Lonchura striata: one gene and its partners. The main gene of each other region encodes a partner of the protein of the gene in region 3 in a complex. Links are inferred from orthologs where the notes say so. Each region holds a gene or a part of one and is shown on either strand. Other genes may lie near its edges.

Region 1 (6,991 bases), on a different chromosome or scaffold from region 3:
CCGCTCGCCTGGCGTGGTAGGAACGGATTGTTTTTAAACCAGAATACTTTTTTTTATTATTATTGTTACGGATTCTATTTTTTTTCTCTTTCCGAGTTACCAGGTGTGTGTATATATAAATATCTATATATATAAATATAAATATTAAAAGAAAAAAAAAGAAGCAGAAATTATATATCTTACCCAGAGAGAGGAAGAAACTACCCTGCTCAGGGCCTGGGCCCCCCACCTTGTCCCTGTCCCCAAAGGAGGGACGTGGGGCTGCCTCCTGCACCCATGGAAGGAGCTGTGGTAGGTGCTGGGTGTCACTGTTCGTCCCTGAAGGGGGCCATTGGGTGCCAGATACCCATCCTCGGACACTCCCCTCCCTGATCCATGGTGTCCACAGCCTCCAGCCCCCCTGGGGGGCCCAGGGTGGAGGTAAGGTGGGGACAGCACCCCACACCCCCATCCCAAGCTGGTGCAGAAGCCCCAGTGTCCCCCACCCGCAGTTTTTGCTCTTTCTTTCCCCAGGTGCTGTGGTCGGGGGGGTTGTTGGTTTTGTTGCCTTTTTTTGTTTCTGTTAATGATTCCGAGGAGGTTTCTCGCTGTCGCAGGGGTGTTTTTATTTCCGCTCGCTCGGGGAAGAGGCAGGTGCATCCCCGGAAAGCAATATTTTCTCATCACATGCCAAAAAAACACAGCCAAGGAGCCTTGTGCTCCCTGTCCCCAAAGCCCTGCCGGCACTACCGGACTCTTTCTCTACGGCAATAGCTCCCGTGGCCCCACACAGCCACGCCAGGGTTTTTTATTATTATCAGCCATTTTAAAAACAAGGAATAAAAGGATATTTAATGAGCCACCCCGGGGCTGTGCGTGTGCTTTGTTTGGTGTCCAGGGATGGAGCAGCCCCTCCAAGGCTCCTGATCCTCAGGGTTTCAGCCTTGCCCCCCCTCCCGAGGGAGAGAGAGAAGGGGGTCTGGTAAGAGCTGAGCCTGGCCCAGTTCTGGGGGGGCTCCAACTTGAGGCAAACTCTGCTCCCACAGAAGGTAAGGATTTTCCAGGCATGGGAAAAGAGGCTCCAGGGAAAGTATCGTGGGTGCTGGTGAGGTTTCGGATCCAAAGGAGGGCACCTGCACGTTCCAGGGACACCTTTGTTTGGGGCTCCACTGTGACAGCTAAGGGTCACAGCAGCCATGGCCACCAGCCCCTCCTCACAGCAGAGTTTAAAAGGTGACTAAAAAAGAGGCTTTGATGCTCCAGGTTCTTCAGGTACAAAAGCTCAAGGTCAGCACCCACAGAGTCTGTGCCCCTGGTGCTGGGGGGCTGCAGGGGTGTCCTCTTAGCCGGGGGGACAGGCCAGCCCCAGTGTCCCTGGGGTCAGCCGGGGCTGTTCCCATGGGCCAGGGGATCCCCAGGGCGTCACCGGCGTGGTTTCACCGTAAGCTGCTGCTGGCCTGGGAGCTGCCCACCCCAGGGTGCTCCGGGCTGTGCCGGTTCTGCAGAGGAAGGACAGACAGAAACTGTGAGAGCTGCTGGGCAGCAGCCCCTTGGGGATGGCAACTCACAGCGCCCCTCCGAGGTCCACGGGCTGGGCACTGCACCCCGGCCTTGCCACTCACCTTCTTTTTCTTCTTCTCTTTCTTCTTCCTCTTCCGCTCTGGATCCTCCTCTTTTTTCTTCTTTTTCTTCTTGTGGTCGGAGTCTGAGGGGGTTTCTGGAGAAGCAGAAGCGCCAGATGAGCCGATGCTCTGCCAGTGCTGAAGGGGAGCAGGGGAGCGGCTGTGGCAGCCTTACCTGGGGGGACGGGGTCCTGCGTGCGGCTCTGTTTGTGCTTGTGCTTGTTCTTCTTCTTAGGCGGCTGGATGTGCATCAGCCGGCACTGCTCGGGCAGCTGTGGAGAAAAAGGACTGGTCAGACCACGCCGGGCCCCTCCCGCCCCTCCGGCTCCATAGCCCGGGGCTCACCGGGCCGGCGTGCAGGCGGAAACCGGTCAGCATGGCACCCGTGAGCGGCGTGAAGGAGCTGCCGCAGATGGGCGGCTTCTCGATGAGCGAGCGCAGGCTGCTGCTGTCGTGGGAGCCGGGCAGGTCGATCATGCCGGGCAGGTCGGGGAGGAAGTTACTGAGCTTCTCCTTCACCTTCTTGCCGCAGAACTTGTTGTAGGCGTGCTCCAGGTTATAGTGTGTGATCAAGTTGGTGCTGCCCGTCAGCTCCGTAGTGCCTGTGCGGCCGCAGGAAAACTTGGCGCGGGGGAAACGCCCCGACGGCAGCCCAGGCCCCTCTCCCCAGCCGAGCCGAGGCTCCGGGACCCCCTGCAGCCCCCGAGCACCGGGACCCCCGGCCCCGGGGCGCCCCCGCCGCCCACTTCCCCACCGGACCGCGCGTTGCGCGGCCCCGCCCCCGCAACCTCATTGGCTCCTGGCGCCGTCAGTTTCCCCCGCGGCCGCGTTTCGCCGCGCTGATTGGCCGAGCGCGGCACCCGCCCCGCCCCGCGGCCCGCCCGCACCTGGCAGCTCTCGCAGCAGGTAGAAGGGGCCGCCGGCGGCCTTGCGGGCCGCGTCTTCGCCCGGCGGCGGCGCGGCGGCCGAGGCAGCGGGCGGCGGCGCGGTTCCGGCACCCGGCGCCTTGGCGGGCCCGAATCCGAGCGCGGCGGCGGCGGCGGGCGGCGGCTCGGCCGCGCCGAACAGCGCCGAGAAGTTCTCCATGTTCCCGGCGTGCCCCGCGCCGGGCCGCCCCGCCCCGCCATTGGCCGAGCGCCGCCCCCACACCGCCCCTGCCCCCCGTTGCTAAGGGAGACCCATCCCAGCCTTCTGATTGGCCGCTCCCCTCTCTCCTCTCATTGGTCCGCGCGCGCGGGAGCGCCCGCCTCGCCGCTCGCCATTGGCCGGCGCGGGAGGCCCCGCCCCCGGCAGTGAGCGGGGCGGAGGGAAGATGGCGGTGGTGGCGCCGCTGCTGGCGCTGCTCTGGGGGCTGCCCGGGCTCTGCCGATGGCTCGCCCAGCCCTACTACCCGCTCTCCGCGCTGCTCGCCGCCGCTTTCCTGATTGTGCGCAAGGTCCCGCCGCTCTGCCGCGGGCTCCCCTCGCAGCGGGAGGATGGCAACCCTTGTGACTTTGACTGGGTGAGGCGGTGCGGCCTGTCCCCGGGCCTGTCCCCGCATCCCTGGGCTGTCCCCGGTCCTGTCCCCACAGCCCCGGCCCTGGCTTGGCTCCCCTCCTGCTCACACAGCACCCCGGCCTGGCTGAGAGAGGAGTTGCCCGGTAGCCCCTGGCGATGCTCTGCGGTGTTCCCTTACAGCCGAGAGGCACCCCCAGGCTCTGGTCCGGCTCGTGGCCCCAGGGCAGCCCCTCTGCTCGCTGTTCTCATCCCGGGGGGGATGAAGGCTCTGGGCTGTGGCAGGGCCTTGGGAACAGTAGGGCCTGGCACGGCCACGGGTCCCTGTGCCAGGCCAGGCATGGCTTCAAGGTGTCCTGGGCACTTCCAGCTCATGCTGTCCCTTCTTTGTGCCAGAGGGAGGTGGAGATCCTCATGTTCCTCAGCGCCATTGTCATGATGAAGAACCGGCGCTCCAGTGAGTCAGGGGGACTTGGGGGGCTGGGGCTGCTTATGGGGTCTCCTTCAAGGAGCACGGGGTGGTGTCTGGAGGACCAGATCCAGCCCTCCCTGAAGTTTCCCCCAGCCTTCTGGGGGCATCTGGTCCCATGCCTTATTCCTGTCTCCACATCACAGTCACCGTGGAGCAGCACATCGGGAATATTTTCATGTTCAGCAAAGTGGCCAACGCCATCCTGTTCTTCCGCCTTGACATCCGCATGGGGCTGCTCTACCTCACTCTCTGCATAGGTGAGCCTGCATGTCTTCTTGCCCTAGATCCGCCTTCTCCTGGCTCCCCCTTACTGCTCTGGGGTGGAGGAGCTCTGTCCCAGGCCCAGCCTGGCCCTCCTGGCACTGGGGGGCTCAGGGTGCTGTCATTCCAGTGTTCCTGATGACCTGCAAGCCACCCCTTTACATGGGCCCCGAATACATCAAGTACTTCAGTGACAAGACCATCGATGTGAGTATCTCCCCAGCCCTGGGGCTTTTGGTGGTCTCTGCCCTCGCCCCCCTAAGCCCATGCCCCTGTGGCAGGAGGAGTTGGAGAGGGACAAGCGGGTGACGTGGATTGTTGAGTTCTTTGCCAACTGGTCCAGTGAGTGCCAGTCCTTTGCCCCCATCTTCGCCGACCTCTCTCTCAAGTGAGTGGCACCCACTGGAATCTTGGGGGTAACGGGGCCTGTGGTCCCCTGTGTCCCTCACTGCCCTGTGTCCCCATCCTGCCCAGGTACAACTGCTCAGGACTCCAGTTTGGGAAGGTGGATGTTGGCCGGTACACGGACGTCAGCACCAGGTGTGGGGAACGCAGCCTGGGCAAGCAAGGCTCGCTCTGGGGTAGTCCCTGTGACCCTCCTGCCCTCTCAAGCTGCCCGAGGGTCACTGTGGGCTTGTCCTGACACAGGTACAAGGTCAGCACCTCGCCTCTCACCAAGCAGCTGCCCACCCTCATCCTCTTCCAGGGTGGGACAGAGATCATGCGGCGACCGCAGATCGACAAGAAGGGCCGGGCTGTGTCCTGGACCTTCTCTGAGGTGGGTGGGACCCTGCAGCCCTCTGTTCTGTCCAGCCTGTGCCTGGGAAGAAGGGGGGAGCACGAGGTCCCAGTGGTGCTGATGCTACCTCCTGGCCACAGGAGAATGTGATCCGGGAGTTCAACCTCAACGAGCTCTACCAGAAGGCCAAGAAGCAGTCGAAGCCGCGGGAGGAGGGACCTGAGGAGCCCCCAGCCGTGCCCGCTGCAGCTCAGGAGACCAAGAAGGACAAGTAGAAGCTGCCCTGTACTGTCGCCCATCACTATGTCACCATCAGCCTGGTGGCAGCGGCCCCGCGGGCCTGCCCAGCCCCGCCCGGAGCCGCTCTCCGTGCGGACTTGTCCCGGCTGAGCCCCGGGAAAGCGGCGGTGCCCCCCGGCCCCGTGCGGGCAGGGCGGTAGGAGGGGCCCCGCCTCGGTTAACGCTCGCTCATCATCCATCGCTGACAATAAACGGTCCGTGCCGTGTCCCGTGACCCGTGTCCGTGTCCGTGTCCGTGTCCCCGGCCCGGGCCCGCGCATGGGGGCGGGGCCGTGCGGAGCCGGCGCGCTCTGATTGGCCGGCGCGGCGCGGGCGGAACCGGAGCCCACCGGAGGCTCCGGTGCCCTCCTCGGCCCCGCCCGTTCCGGCCCCGCCCCGGCGGCGCGCGCTCCCGCACGTGGCCAGCGGCCGGTAGGAGCGCCGCTGCTGCCCCGGGCCCCGCCGCCCTGCTCCCCCCAGCCGCACACCGCGGCGGGATCCCTGCGGAGCCGCCTCCCGCCCTCCGCAGCGGGATCCCGGCGGGGGCCCTCATTTCCCCCGTGGCGCATCGCCGGGGACTGGCCCATCCGGGCCCTCTCCCACAGTAGTGTCCCCACAGGGACCCACTTTTCACTCCCCGGACAGCGTGGTACCTGAGCTCCCTTCTCACCCCGGAGTGGCATTCCTGCAGCCGGCGTAGGCTCCACCGCCTCGGCTGTCCCAGGATGGCTCCCCGCGGGAGGAAGCGCGGAGCCCAGCAGCCGGCGGCGGCCGAGGCACCGGAGACAGCGGGAGCTCCGCAGAAGCGGGCGCGGGCCCAGGCCCAAGCCCAAGACGAGTGCAGCCCCGGGGACATCGGCCCCCGTGTCGTCATCGAGCACTGGTGAGCGGCCGAGGCGCCGAGGGCGGTGTGAGGCCCCTGGGTGCCCCGGGGTCGCTGACCGCCGTGTCCCCGCAGCAAGAGCTGACGCGTGTTCGGGCGGAACGCGGCGGCGGTGAGCGCGGCCCTGCGCGGGGCCATGGCGCACCTCCCCGTGGACATCAACCCCCGGCCGCCGCGCAGGAACAGCTTCGAGGTGTCCCTGGTGAAGGAGGACGGCAGCAGTAAGTGCTGGGCAGGGGGGCGGGGGGCTCCCCGGCACCCTTGATCCCATAATCTCCCTTACCTCTGCAGCCGTGGAGCTGTGGAGCGGTATCGGGAAGGGGCCCCCCCGCAAGCTGAAGTTTCCCCAGCCGGAGACAGTAGTGGAAGCCCTGAAGAGCAGCTTGGCATAGAGGTGTTGGCCAGGTGAGCGGGGATGGGACTGGGATGGGATAGGGCAGGGATGGGACCAACAGGGACCGACTTCCCTCTCTCCACAGCCAAGCCAGGATCGGCACAGACGGCATGAGCGTCCATGAAGAGGCGAGACCAAGTGGGGGCATCCACCTGCCCCAGTCCCGTCCCTGATGTTGCAGCTCTGCCACTGCCAGACCCCTGGCTCCCTCCACACCCCGTTGTCCCCCCAATCTCCAATAAAGTTTAGTACTCCACAGCACAGCTTCAGCCCTTTATTCCAAGGACATGCAGCCCAAGGGGTACAGGCACTGGTGGGGGGAGAGGCAGAGCCAGCCCCCTCTAGGTGAGGACATCCACCTCCTCTTCTGACTCAGATGAGGGACTGGGCCAGAGGCACACTGTGCCAGGGGGCAGGAATAGTTCCCCTGTTCCCACATCCACCTCTTCCTCCTTGGTGTCACTTCCAGGAGTTCCTGGGAGCACTGCCTGCTGGCAGCCCTGCGAGGACACAGGGGAGTCCCCATGCTGCTGCATCCCATTTTCACTGGGGGACTGCTGGGTTGGGGAGCACTTGCTCACCTGCTCCCGTGCATCCACATTCTGGGGGGGCTGTGCTTCTGTCACCCCCACATCCCCCACCATCACTGCCGGAGGCACGGCCTCCTGCACCACCTCCCAGTGCCCCCAGTGCTGCACCTTCCGCAGCCTCATCCGCCCGATGGGGCTGGGGTGTGAGTGCCCCAGAGAGTGTGGCTGCCTCTGGGGGGACACCGCAGAGCTGGCACTGCCAGGCTCAGCTGAGTCAGGTGCCCCCACGGTGGAGACTTCCTGAGTGGAATGCAGGCAGGAGCGGTCGAGCTGCCGCT
Region 2 (6,241 bases), on a different chromosome or scaffold from region 3:
AGTAATAAAAAGTACCTGGTAATTTACTTCCTCATTAATTAGGATTATCCTAACCAATTCCAATGAAAATAATGGAAGACCATTAAAAGATGGGAAAAACCACTTGCAAATGTTAATATTACTAGATTTTCTTCTACTTCTAACTTCGGTTACATCATAAGAAACAGTTTCCCTAACAAGTACCTGTTCCTGTCACATAAGCTTTGGTGAAGAGGTGTACAGTTAGCTGCCCTTTTATGCAGCAGTTTCTGTGTTTATGCTTGTGTGAAACAGCATCTCCTGCATTAAACAGTATTAACTTCCTCTATTACTGAAAAGTTTTGGATGACTAAGTAGGATACACAAATTGTGCTTTAAAAATCTTAAGACAGCAGTGGGATCTGAGTACACGGAGGGATGAATTCCAGTAAGTCTGACATTTTTAGACTGTTAGGCAATAGGCTTTTAAAGTTATCTCCCATGCAAAAGAAAGAACACTATGGGTATTAACATTTACTGATTTTTTTAACAGTGCTAATTTGAAGTGTCCACTTCTGCTCATATTCACAAGTGAAAGAAAAAAACACTCAGGAATTGCAGCTGCCAAAACTGATACATAGTACTTTATTCCCTTCTCCCTGTTTTGATTTGCCCACAAAACGCTTTTTAGAAAAACATCATTTTCTGAAACACAAAACCAGTGCCTTAATGCCCCAGACTGTCAATCACATTAGTCTTTTGGGGTCAATTTTCTCCAGGTGTACTAGAGGCTTCAGCTGCTCAGCAAAGTTCCTCATGTCATCAGAAACAATGTCCTGCCCTGCTGGCGCAACGACATTGAGCTCCACCAAGTAGGAGAGGGAGAGCGGCTCGATGCTCTCTGTGTTTCCTGGCATCAGTATACGGAAGATCTTGTACACCATGATCTTCATGATGCCCTTGCGGAATACGTGCCCTTTGGCCACGAACTCGTGGTCCATGCGGAAGCCCATCTCCACCAGGAAGTCCGTCAGGTTGTCGGAGGTGGCGATGTCCACGCAGTTTCGCACCAGCGCGTGGCGGTTCTTGTCGCCTATTTCGGGCTGTCCCAGGTAGCGCAGGTGCCAGGGCATCCCGCTCTTGTCCATGGAGCGCCGGGCGCGCAGCACGAAGGGGCTGGCCTGCTGCCCCTTCAGCAGGAACACCATCTCGTGGTCCAGGAAGGTCTCGGGCTCCATGTTGTCGCACAGCCCGCGCAGCCGGTGCAGGAGGCTCTCCAGGCTCTGGTCCAGCACGCTCCCTGCGGAGACAGCGCCGCGACCGTCGCCTCGCACGGGCCGAGCTGGGCTCCGCACGCGGCGCGCCCGCCCCAGCGCCTTCCGGCCCGCCCGTGCGCGGCGCCAGCCCCCCACCCGCTGCTTGGTCCCGCCGCGCCTACCTTGGAGCAGGTACTCCATCATGTTGATGGTGCCGCCCGTGACGGGCATCATGGTCACCGGCGGCGCCTCCATCGCGCTGCGCTCCGGCCCCGCGGCCCCGCCGGCAGCGCCGCGCAGAGCGGCGGCAGCGCCCCCTAACGGCCCGGCGGGCGGGGGCGGCGCCGGCCCGCCCCGCTCCGCTCACACCGCCCCGCCCCGCTCCCCTCACACCGCCCCGCTCCGCTCACACCGCCCCGCTCCGCTCCCCTCACACCGCCCGGCCCCGCTCCGCTCACACCGCCCCGCCCCGCTCACACCGCCCCGCTCCGCTCCCCTCACACCGCCCGCCCCGCTCCGCTCACACCGCCCCGCTCCGCTCCGCTCACACCGCCCCGCTCCCCTCACACCGCCCCGCCCCGCTCACACCGCCCCGCCCCGCCCCGCTCCCCTCACACCGCCCCGCTCCCCTCACACCGCCCCGCTCCGCTCACACCGCCCCGCTCCGCTCACACCGCCCCGCTCCGCTCACACCGCCCCGCCCCGCTCCCCTCACACCGCCCCGCTCCGCTCACACCGCCCCGCTCCGCTCACACCGCCCCGCTCCCCTCACACCGCCCGGCTCCGCTCACACCGCCCCGCTCCCCTCACACCGCCCCGCTCCCCTCACACCGCCCCGCTCCGCTCACACCGCCCCGCTCCGCTCACACCGCCCCGCTCCCCTCACACCGCCCCGCTCCCCTCACACCGCCCCGCTCCGCTCACACCGCCCCGCCCCGCCCCGCTCCGCTCACACCGCCCCGCTCCGCTCACACCGCCCCGCCCCGCCCCGCTCCGCTCACACCGCCCCGCTCCGCTCACACCGCCCCGCTCCGCTCACACCGCCCCGCTCCCCTCACACCGCCCCGCTCCCCTCACACCGCCCCGCTCCGCTCACACCGCCCCGCCCCGCCCCGCTCCGCTCACACCGCCCCGCTCCGCTCACACCGCCCCGCCCCGCTCCGCTCACACCGCCCCGCTCTCCTCACACCGCCCGGGGGCCGAGCGCTGGAGCAGGCTGCCAGGGAGGTTGTGGAGTGTCCCTCTCTGGAGCCATTCAACACCTACCTGGATGTGTTCCTGTGTCAGCTGCTCTGCGTGACCCTGCCTCAGCAAGGGGGCTGGACTGGATGATCTGCAAAAGTCCCGTCCAGCCTTAACGATTCTGTGATGCCGTGTTTTTTCTTTTATTCTAGTTTGCCCAAAGCCGGGAATCAGGAGGTAACCCACGAAAGGCTGGCTCTGTGATCATCAAACCTCTACACTATTTATACCTTTTAACAAACCAAGGTGTCAGCATTTGTTAGCTGTAAGTTATACCACTTTTCTCCTAATTAGCACTCAAACCCTATTTTCTAGTTGTGTGTCTTGCTTCTCCATGAGAAGAGCCCTTTTGGTCTGCAGGCGTGGTTTTGCCTCCCTTGGGTCAGGGTGTGGTGGAATTGCCTTCCCTCAGTCAGCTCCTGGCATCCTGACTTCACTCCTGGCAGATCTCATCCAGAGAGTCCCTGCATCTTGGGATTCTCTTCTCTTTTCCTCAAAGCAAAAGACGAGCCAAGTATGCAACATTCACAGTGCGATTGCTTAATCATAACTGTTCAGCTACAGCTTCTGATTAACAACTGGAAAAAAAAAAATTGCAAAGTTTGGTTCAAATCTTGAGACCTCAAATCTTGAGGGCCCCAAATCTCAAAGGGCTTGCTGCCAGCCTGACCTCGGCGCCGGTGGCACAGCAGGAGGGTTGGGAGGCCAGCAGGCAGGACCAGCCATCAGGGGTCATTGTGGCTGCACCCACATCACTCCCCAGGGTGGCACATGCAATTAATTCTGTGGAAAATATCCACCAAAAATGATCCAATCTGTCTCACAGCGACAGCAAAGTGTCTGATGCTCTGGGGTGTTGTGGGCCAGGCTTCAGCTCCTGCAGCAGAAGGCAGAAATCTCATCTGGGCCTGGTAGGATGTACACCATTTCTATGCAGAAAAGCCCGTTTTCAGAAAGTGATGGAAATGCCCAGTATGTACCAGCTGAAATTACTCCTGTCAATACCCAAAACAGAGTTATAAATGTGACATTTCCCTTAGCAGTCTTTTGTGTAACAAACCTTTGTGCCACACAGAATGTGAACAGTATGTCCATTTTTCATGTATCAGTATCTACACAGTGGTGGTATCCCCTGACACCCCCCATAAAAATTATATAAATACTGGTACAAGCCAAAGACCTGCAAATGAGAAATGGCATAGTCATGCCCTCCCAGTGCAGTCATGGTTAATTTTATCCTGACGTTCCAGCTTGTGAAAGTGTGGACTGACCTTGTAGAATTCTCCTCCAGGAGGATAAACTGAGTAAGGAAGAAATTATTTCTTGTGAGGGTGCTGAGATGCTGGAACTTGGAAGTTATGGCTGGACCATGACTGGAAGTGTTCAAGGTCAGGTTAGATGGGGCTTTGAGCAACCTGACCTTATGTTTCTGGTGAAGGATAAAGAAAGAGGTGATTTTTTTCCATTCTGCAACTGCTGCCTGGTATGAGCTGGAGGACAAAGGAAAGGAAAGCTGCAAGGAGGAGAAAGGAAACATGACTGGCTTCTGTTGACACTCAGGTTCTGTCTGGTGCACTGTGTCCATGGGAGAGGCCTCCAGGAGAGGAAGAAAACTGCATCAGGTCTGTTTCACTGAGTGTCATCAGACCACACAACAGGAAGGGTGTCAGGAAGGAACATGTCAGGTACATCAGGCTGATGCCTTTTTTAGCCTGTGGACTTGGTAATGTTAGGTTTAGAGTTGGACTCAATGATTCTAAAATTCTCTTCCAACTTAAACAATTCTGCAATTCTCTGGTGTAGTGAAGGTGTGCCTGCCAGCAGTAGGGGGGTTGGAAATTAATGCTCTTTTAAGTCCCTTCCAACCCATATTCTTCTCTGATGCTAAGAGCTGATGTTTACTTGGCTGTTGTGGATCTCACTTCTTGTGGGTATTGGTGCCAAGATCCAGATTTTCTATTTTTATACAGGCTGTGGCTGGGATGAAAGTAGTTGTCTCCATAGCAGCCTGTATGAGGCTGTGTTCTGGATTTGTGACTAAGAACATTGGTTACACAGCAGTACTTTAGCTGTTGCTGAGGAGGGGTTGCCAGCATCAAGGTTTTATTTTTGTCCTTTTTCTCCTGCATTCACTGCCAGTGAGTAGGCTAGAGGCAAGTAAGAGGCTCTGAAGGAACAAAGGGAGTCACATCTGATCCCAGCTGACCACACCAATATTCCATACCAGACTGCATTCTGCCCAGCACCAAAAGCTCTGGGAAGAAGATGAGAAAGTGGGGACATTCATGGTTATGGCATTTGTTTTCCCAAATAACTATTAGTGTGCCAAAGCTCTTCTTGCTGATAGGGAATTGTGAATAAATTCTTTATTTTGCTTTCTGGGTGTGGCTTCACTTTACCTCCTAAGCAGTCTCCATCTGAATCTATGTCTTCTCATTTTTGCCTTTACTCTTTCCTGTCCTACGTGAGTGGGGGCAAACAACAATAAGGTTGTTTACCTACCTACCATATTTGTCTAGAAGGCCTGAATCCTAGTGGGAATGGAATGGGAGCAACCTGGGGCTAAAGCTTTGCTTAAGAGCAGACTGAAGTAAAGCTGGTGGTTAAGATAGGATGCTAAGTAGTTTTGTGTTATGTAATACAAAAGCCTTGGAGCACTGAAGTGAGGTCAGCTTTGGAAGCAGGCCTCCCCCATTCCACAGGGTGTAAGCAAGGTGAGCCTGGGGCAGCAGTCATCCCCAGGCAGGATGACAAAGTATGGAACTGTCAGTGCTAGGGGGGTCACTGGATGCAGTGTCACCACTCTGCAGGGCAAGGTGGACCTGACAAGAACATGAACTTGCCCTGAGGCAAGACAGGATCCCAAACCATCGTCTTTTTTCAGCAGGTATAAACCTGCAATATAAACCTTCCCTAACCAAAGCCAAAGGAGAAAGAAGATATGACCTTGAAAATGGTAAGCCATGTCCTAAAGGAGATGGGAGAGGATCACAGATCTGAAAAACACTCTGAATAGTAGCCAGAGCTCTCACTGCACCCCAAAAGGCAGCTGGAAGGAGTAAGACAGGCCCTCTACTACAGCTTGTCCCAGGGCTCATATGGTATTTTTTCATACGGTATTCACCATATGAGCAAGGTTCACATCAAGCACAAAAATTGTCCAGGGTCTGTGCACTGACACACCCAGTGGACTTGTACACTCTGAGAAAGGAACTGGTGTCCCACAGCACTCTTGTCCAGGAATCGTTGTGCCTGCCTAGGAATGCCTGTGCTGGAGCCTGGCAGAGCCACATCCCCCCAGGCCAGCACCTGCTGTACCAGGCTTCTGGTACCACAGCCACGTCAGGGTGCGTGTGGTGTGCATCCCTGTGCTGGAGCTGCTCCCTCCATCAGGAAGGTTCAGTAGTGCTCAGTTCACTGACAGCACCTCGCAGCAGCTGGGGAAATCCAAGTGGGCAACAACTGTGTGGCTAGAAGCAGCTGGGGCTGCAGTGCTTGCAAGCCTCACAGTGCTGAAACTTCCACACCAGGCAGCAGAAGGGGACTGGTGTCTTACAGGGTAAAATAGATTCAGCACACAGAGGAGAAAGGAGGTGAAGAGAGAAGCAAAGTGGTACCAGAGTCAAACACACTGTTTCATATGTTCTTTTTTAATTCTAGGGTTTTAAAAGATTTGGGAATTATTTCACCATTATCAATGGTGAAAGTACAACACTGAAGTTACAGCAATTCTAGAAATTTGATTCTAGACAGGTGGTTTGATTTTGCCAAACAAGCCCCAGCAG
Region 3 (7,590 bases):
TCGCTGATGTGTTTCACACAAACTTTAGGCGATATTAAATGCCAGGATGTGAAAGCGTGGCGCTCACAGCGAGCGCAGAGCCTCTCGGGGGGCAGAATTCCCACCCTGGGCGATGGCAGAGGCTATTTATGGAAACATCCCTGCCCAGGGCACGCGCTGAGCCCTCCACTGCCTGCCCCAGCCCCAGAGAGGCTCAGATGGCGGTTTGGGGTATCTGCCCAGCCCAGGAGAGGCTCACATGGGAGATGTGGGGTGCCTGCCCACCACCAACACCCCAGTTGCTTTGCCCAACCTCACCGAGGCTGCAAGGTGAGCAGCAGCACCAGCAGGTCCTTACCTGGGAGCTGATGGCGTATTTCAGGTAGGATAAGATGAGTGGGTTTGGGGATGGCCCAATCATGGCCTGCTCCAGGAGAGCCTCTGCAAGGAAAGAGGGTCCCAGGTCAGCACATGGGGAACACACGGACACAATCTGCTCTCCCCTCATTCCACAGGGAAGCTGGCAAAGTCCAACTGTACCAACCACAGTGACTCCACACCAGTTTTTCTCCTAAATTCATTGAATCCCACAACTTCCTAATCCCTGACGGGCACAAGCCAGTGAATAATTCAGGCAGAGCTCGCAGCCTCCTGCTAACACAGCTCTTCAGCGCTCCAGCCCTGAAATTTCTGCTGCTGCTCTCCACATTCCCCTCCCTCCCAGTTCTTGCCAGGAGGCTCCTGCAGCCTCCACTGAGTGTCTTTTGCCCAGGCACCTGGGGCTGAGCTTGGGGCCACCAGTCCCCTGCACTGGGCGCAGCCCTGCCCGTCTGGCCCTCGGTGGCCTGAGGGGCTCTGCCCGTCCCATCTGCTCAGCCAAGCCTTTAATTGTCCATTTGAGCCATGGCAGAGTGCAGGAAGCACCACCCCGAGCAGGCCCCGGGCTGCAGCACAGGCTGCAAGTAGGTCAGAGCACCCAGATGTGAAAGGGGGAGCAGCAGCCGGGTGGGAAGTTGTCACCCCAAAGCCGAGGAGGAGAAGCCACCACCGGATCCCGAGTGCAGGAGAAGGAGACTCCCTGGGTCTCGCTCCAAGGCTGAATCCTGGGCCAAGAGCGTCTGGGATGAGGACAGAAGGCTGGTGGCAGCCGTCCCCTCCCCAGCCCATCCCAGAGTGCCACCACGAGCCAGCCACATGCTGCTCCCTGCTGCAGACGTGTCAGCAGCGATCTGCCAGGCCCTGCCGTGATCCTGGCAGCTCGTGCCAGCTTTCCCTCCTTTGTACTTCCAAGCTGAAAGGGGCACGAGCTCGGGAAAGGACAGCTCTGGGGGCTGTGGTGAGGAAGGGAGCTGCTGGTCCAGCCATTGGGACCTCGGGAATGGGCTCTCCCTGTGTGCACACAATACCCAGGGTCACGGCCAGCACCCTGCCCGCGTGGCTCCCAAAAGGAAAAGGGGATACAGCTCCTTCTCCTCCTGCTCCAAAGAAGCCACTGAGCCTTGGGTAAATGTGAGCCAGGAGAAACCCATTCCTGCAGAAATAATAGGGAATTATCCTCCCTGCGTCTGTTTTTGGGGATACACAGACGAGCCCAAGCCAAGTACCCCGCAGGCCTCACTGCCAGAGGAGCAGGAGCCAGTGCCACCAGGGTGGGAACAGACACCTGGGAGCCTCAGGGACCAGCTGGGCAGCAGCAGGACTGGCCCTCAAGCCAACCACCCCCACCCCCAGCAAATCCATGCAGAGCAAATCCATCCCCCCACGGCCACAGCTCCATTTGGCCCCTCCAGCCGCACCTCAGAGCTGACAAACCCAGCAGGGACAGCTCAGCAGTGACAAAAAACAGACACTGACAGAAAATCCAATGAGAGGATGAAGAGAAGGGAAAAACATGCACAGGGGAAAGTTCCCCACACTCAGAGGAGTGAGAGCTGCTGCCTGTGTGGGGCTGGTTCCTTTAAACTCCCTGGAGCAGCAGCTCTGTTTATTTATCCCGGGACTTGCTGCACAGGGAAAATCCCAGCACCAAGTTTCTATAATTAGCAAGAGAGCCTGGCAAATCTTTAAACCAGTCCTAGCTTTTGGCAGGATTTCTGTGAAATGCCCTTGAATTGGGCTGGGAAGCAGCCTTGGGAGCAGCACCTGGCTCCTGTGCAGTGCTCGAATCACGAAATCGGGGAATCATTAAGGCTGGAAAGACCTCCAAGAGCATCTCACCATAACCCAAGTGCCCTGGAGCCACATCCACATGGCAACTCCACCACAGCCTGTTCCAACGCCTAACCACCCTTTCAGTGAAGAAATTTCTCCTAATTTCCAACATAATTCTCTCCTGGCTCAACTCAAAGCTGTTTCTCTCGGTCCCAAAAGCTACGCTGTGCTGACCCCTGAACCCTCCCATGGGGGAAAAGGAGGGAATGATCCCAAAACGGGGACAGCGGGGTGGGGGGGGACAGTTGGGAATGGACTGACATGGTTGGGAATGGGAATTTTGGCGTGAAAAGTGGTGTGGGAAGTGGGGACCCAAAATGCGACAAGGGACCCCATAATACCCCTGCCTGCACCCCAAAGAGGGGAACACTGGGGACAACACCCAAATAAACGCGTGAGGACCCCCAAAACATCCCAGTGTGCCCAGTAAGGAGGGGGAACCCCCCGCCTCCCCCCGACCTGCCAAGTTGAGGATGTCCCAGGTGGCTCCGCGGGGGAAGAACCGCTTCATGTTTATGGCCCATTGATAGTCGCTCCAGCGCTCCTTCCAGGCCTGCAGGATGGCCTGCTTCAGGTTCACCACCTTCATGGTCACCCCGCGGCCCGACAGCTCAAGGCGAAGGGGGACGGAGCCCTGACCCGGCCGGGCAGGGCCGGACAGAGCGGGGAAGCGGCCCAGCGGCTTCGGAGGGCAGCAGCTGGGGGTCTGCCCGCTCCCCGGCCCTGAGGAGCCCCTCGGAGCAGCCCCGGAACCCCTCGGAGCCCCCGAAGTTCGGTGCCCGGGGGTCCCGCCGGGTCCCGCCGCCCCTCAGCGCGGCCCGGCGCCGCCCTCAGCGCTTGGGCACCGCCATTGCGGCGCCTGCCAACAAGCCGCACGCTGATTGGGCGGCGGGGCGCGGCGGGCGCAGGGGGTGATGGGAGTGGTAGTTCGGGGGGCTAGGGCGGGCGGGGGCGGGAGTGAGTGTGCAAAGGGTGGGTGGGAACGGGGGGCGAGTGTGCAAACGCCGAGGTGAGAGTGCAAACACCGTGTGGGTGAGCAAACGGGGGAGGGTGGGCTAACACGGGGTGTGTGTGTGGAAACATGGGGTGAGTGTGAAAATCGGGAAATGGGATTTGACATGCAAACACCAGAGGTGAGTGTGCAAATAGGGTGTGTGTGCAAACACGGGGTGAGAATGGGGGGTTGAAAACACGGGAGTGGGCAAATAGGGGCGGGTGTGCAAATAGCAGGGGTGTGGAAAGGTGGGGGGGTACAAACACGGGGGGAAGGATACGTGTGAAAATGAGGAGTTGTGCAAAGACAGGGTGAGTGTAAGAACAGGGGATGTACAAACGGGGTAAGTGTAAGAACAGGGGATGTACAAACGGGGTAAGTGTAAAAACAAGGGATGTGCAAAAATGGTGCAAAGGCGTGAGTGTGCAAAGGCTCTGGGGTGGCAGCACGGATCTCCCAGCATGTTTCTCTGTGCGTTTGTGCAGGTGTGCACACAGGACAGTGTGTGTGCACGTGTGTACACACAGATGTACAGATGTTCACACACGCACACACATGAGCACAGGTGTGCACACCAGTGTGTGAGCACAGAGGTGTGCCCGCGTGCGTGTGCAACCACAGGCGTGCACTGAGGACTGCGTGTGACACAGGCGGGTGTGTTCACACGTGTGGATGCACATGAGTGTGTGCGGTGTGTGTCTGTGTGTGTTGTTGCACACACGCGCAGACACCAGCACCCCCGGGCGGGTGTGCACGCACAGGTACCAGCGCAGGGGTGGGCACACACGCGTGTGCAAGGCCGTGTGCTGCAGACACGTGTGTGCACACACGTGGCGCCGCCATGGGCCTGGGCTGCCCCCCACCCCCTCCCTGCAGTACCAGCAGCTAAAAATATCCCCAGGGATGGTGCCAGCCGTCGCCATGGCAACGGGAGGATGGGGAGCAAGGCTGGGGGGCAGCCCCCCAGAACTGACAGCCCCCCCCAGTACTCCCAGCGCACCAACCCTCCCAGAATGCCCCCAATAGCCCCCCAGCACCCCTCCTGCAACCCAAACACCCCCAGGCCTCTGCACCCCTAGAACACTCCCAGCCCCCCCAAAACCCTCAGTACCCCCAGAATTCCCCAAGGGAACCCCCAAGGCTCAGGAGCAGGGTGAAGACCTCCAGGGGGGCTGGGGTGGGAGCTCAGTCACACCCCCCCCCCCCTCCGCGCTGCTCCGGGGGGGTTTCGCGGCCCCTTAATTCCCCGGTTAATCATTCATGGGGCCGGGGCGCAGCAAATCCCCCCGTGCCGGGGCCGGGATTAAGCGGGCCAGCGGCTGCCCGGGCGGCGAGGGGCCCCGGCGGCGGGGGGGACACCCCGGCAGCGGGGGGGTCCCGCCGGGGGGGAGCCCTATCCATGAGGAGGGATTTCCTGTGCAAGGGGGGGGTCGCTTCCCACAGCTGGCCGTGGAACAGACACCACGGGGGTCTCCAGGCAGGAGGGGCTCTGAGGAGCCCTGCTGGACCCCCCCAACCCCGGCACAGCACCCCCAAACTCCGGGGCAGGGGTGGTGGTGGTGGTGCTGGCAGGGTCGGGGGTGGCAGGGGGTGCTCGGGGGGTCGCAGCTCCCCGGGGTGCCGCGGGGGCGGCCGGCTGGGGGGAAGGCGTCGAAGCCTCGGCGCCTTGGCAGGGAGCCCCGGCACAGCTGCCTCCGGCCCGGGGCCGGGGGGGCCGGAAGGGGCTGGGGCCGTTCCCAGCGCCGGGGGCAAGCGAGGGGCGAGCGGGGGCCAGCGTGAGGGGCTTCCCCTTCCCACGGGGTCAGTGGGGTGGCTGGGAGCTCTGGTGCCGCGTCCTGCCGGGGGGCACATGGCTGCTGACTGGTGTTTGGTGGGGTGTGAAGGATCTGATCCGGGATAGAGGGACACCCCCATGGGGCCGTCCGGACCCCCCAGTTGGTGGTGGGTGCTGCCCCATGGGGGTAGCCAGTGCTGGGGATGGAGGTGCCTGGTGTCATCACCTTCTTGGGGGTCCTGGGGGGCACCACTGGTGACTTGGGGCTATATTTAGTGTTTCTGCCACAGAGCAGCGGGGTGAACTTTAATGAGCGTGTTCCAGCCAACTAGAGCAGCACAGCCCCTCTAAATCCCAAATCCCCTCAGATCAGGGTCTGCCACAGGGCACAAGGTCCCCACTCTACTGGGGCAGTGCAGAGACCTGTGGTGGCACTGGGGGAACCTCAGTGGGGACGGGGAGCTGGTGATGAGCGCGAGAAGCGCCTGTCTGTGTGCTCCAGAGAGGCCACAGGCAAACTCCAGCTCTGCCTCAGTTTCCCCAATGGGATAGAGGCTGTCAGGCAACCTCAAGCAGGGGGATCTGGGGACATGAGGTGGTGTTGAGATGGCTGAGCCCCATAGGCTGGGGGCAGGCGAGCTCAGCCACAGCCTTATCGCGGGCAGACGGCTGCGGGGGGCCGTGGCCGAGCCGTGTTTGCTGAGGATAAAGTGTACGGAACAGGCGGGGAGGGACGGGGGGGCCGTCACGCTGCTGCTGCCCCGCCACGCTGGGACCGCCAGCCGTGCGGATGAGGGCCCCAGGGTGACCCGGGGGGCCAGGGGATCGATGGGGGCTATGGGGACCACCGGCCTGTGGGGACCGGGGGCAGCAGGAGGTCCATGGGTTCTGTGGCAGTCCCAGGTGTCGCTCTCCTCCATCCGCTGGGTACCCCCATCCCCTGGCGACCACCTTCCCCTGGGGACTCGCATTACCTGGGGACCACCATCCCCTGGAGATCCCCGGGTAGCACTGCCCCCTTGTTGTCCCCATTCTGAGCAGCACCGTGCCCTGACAGCCGCTGGCCCGTGGGGACCCCCCCCTCACCTTCCCTGGGTGTTGCCTGCGCTCCCCAAGTGTGGGAAACCATCCCCTGGGTACACCCCTCCCAAGGAAACCTTCATCCCTTGGAGACCCTCCTCTCCTAGAAGCCTTCATGCCCGGGAGACCCCCATCCCCCTCATCCCCTGGGTATCACCGCACCGCCCGTGCAGCCCAGGGAGGGGGGTACCCAGGGGGCTGGGGGGTGGGGGGCGGCCAGACTGAACCCCCCGGGGGTCCCAGGGCCGAGCTGCGGGGCTCCGGGCGGGGATGAGGGGGGCGGCAGAGCCGCTTTAAGCCCGGGCATGACGGGACGTGTAGTCCGGGGAGGAAAAGGGGGGGCTGGGAGCACGGGCTGCTGGGAAGGGGGTGGGGTGGCACGGCCGGGTCGGTGGGCGACCCTCAGCGCCCTCCCCAGTGATCCCCCCCGGGCTCCCGGTGCCGCCGCCATCCCCAGCCCCACGGCGGCTCCGGGTCCGGCCCCACAGCGGGGTACGACCCCCGTTGTTCCCCGTCCCACACATCCCCCGGGGGGCGCAGGGGCAGGGCCCCCCGACGTGCGGGTGTCCTGCGGGATTGTCTCCTGCCCGGGGCGGTGTGGATCTGAGGGGGACCCCCGTGTCTGGTGTGTGCCCCTCCCCGGGCCGGGCTGGGCATCCGGGGTGTGGAGCTGCCCCTTGCCTCGTGGGCACTGTCACCAAGCCCCATGGGGACTGTCCCAGATCTCCTTGAGCATCATCTCCACCCCACCGCCACCCAGCGAGGGCACCGTCCCAGCCCTTCCTGGGTGCTGTCCCCAAATCCTGTAGGGTCACTGTCACTATCACAGCATCGCCGTGGGCACCGTCCCCAGCTCCCTGCGGGTGCCGTGCCCTGCCCTCGTGGACACCAGGTTGTCACTGTCACAGCATCCCCGTGGGTGCTGTTCCCAGTGCCTGTGGGTACCATCCCCGCCCTGCCACGGGCATCCCCCTGGGCCTCCCTGGGCACCGTCTCCGGTCCCCCTTCGGTACAGCCCGCCACGCGGTGGTCGCCATCCCCCGTCCCTGTTGTCACTGTCACGACATCCCCGTGAGCACCGTCCCAAACTCCTGTGGGCACCAGCTTCACCCCACCACGAGCACCGCCCCAGGATCCCGGGGCCCCAAACTCCCGTGGGCACTGTCCCCACCTCCCCGTGGGTGCCGTCCCCAACCCCCGTGGCCACTTCCCCTAGCCCCCCCTGCACACAGCCCCCCACCCTGTGCTCACCACCCCCCGTCCTCGTTGTCGCTGTCACCACATCCCCGTGGGCACCGTCAGGGCTGCCACCACGCACCCTGCCACGGCCACCATCCCCACCCCGTGATCCCCGTGTGCCTCTCTGCCCACCCCGGTGTCACCCTCCCGCGGTCCGCCCGGACCCCGCCGCTCCCCCGTGGGTCCCCACGCGGGGCCGGGCGCGGCGGGTGCAGGGAGCGGCTGCGGCCGGCGGAGGGGGCTGCGGCCGCGGCGGAGCGGAGCGGGCGGGCGGCGGGGCCGGGGGAGGGAGGAGCCAGCGCCGTTCGTCCGC

The links.
Region 1: MED24 (region 3) and MED19 share a complex: the UniProt entries of both Homo sapiens proteins name them as parts of the mediator complex. The link is inferred for Lonchura striata from reciprocal best matches to the Homo sapiens genes MED24 and MED19.
Region 2: MED24 (region 3) and MED18 share a complex: the UniProt entries of both Homo sapiens proteins name them as parts of the mediator complex. The link is inferred for Lonchura striata from reciprocal best matches to the Homo sapiens genes MED24 and MED18.

The regions. Positions count from the first base shown.
Region 1 is NC_134608.1:53,111,237-53,118,227, reverse strand, and holds MED19 (mediator of RNA polymerase II transcription subunit 19), read right to left. Parts: upstream 2,688-6,991; coding exon 2,489-2,687; intron 2,204-2,488; coding exon 1,947-2,203; intron 1,874-1,946; coding exon 1,777-1,873; intron 1,697-1,776; coding exon 1,602-1,696; intron 1,479-1,601; coding exon 1,416-1,478; 3' UTR 581-1,415; downstream 1-580. Other genes in the region: TMX2 (thioredoxin-related transmembrane protein 2), read left to right, coding at 2,914-3,102, 3,492-3,552, 3,711-3,824, 3,959-4,035, 4,110-4,216, 4,303-4,368, 4,477-4,606, 4,708-4,842. UniProt on the Homo sapiens protein: Component of the Mediator complex, a coactivator involved in the regulated transcription of nearly all RNA polymerase II-dependent genes.
Region 2 is NC_134642.1:13,964,522-13,970,762, forward strand, and holds MED18 (mediator of RNA polymerase II transcription subunit 18), read right to left. Parts: upstream 1,511-6,241; 5' UTR 1,470-1,510; coding exon 1,397-1,469; intron 1,259-1,396; coding exon 705-1,258; 3' UTR 581-704; downstream 1-580. UniProt on the Homo sapiens protein: Component of the Mediator complex, a coactivator involved in the regulated transcription of nearly all RNA polymerase II-dependent genes.
Region 3 is NC_134627.1:7,031,620-7,039,209, reverse strand, and holds the start of MED24 (mediator of RNA polymerase II transcription subunit 24), read right to left. Parts: upstream 3,045-7,590; 5' UTR 2,780-3,044; coding exon 2,650-2,779; intron 421-2,649; coding exon 338-420; intron 1-337. UniProt on the Homo sapiens protein: Component of the Mediator complex, a coactivator involved in the regulated transcription of nearly all RNA polymerase II-dependent genes.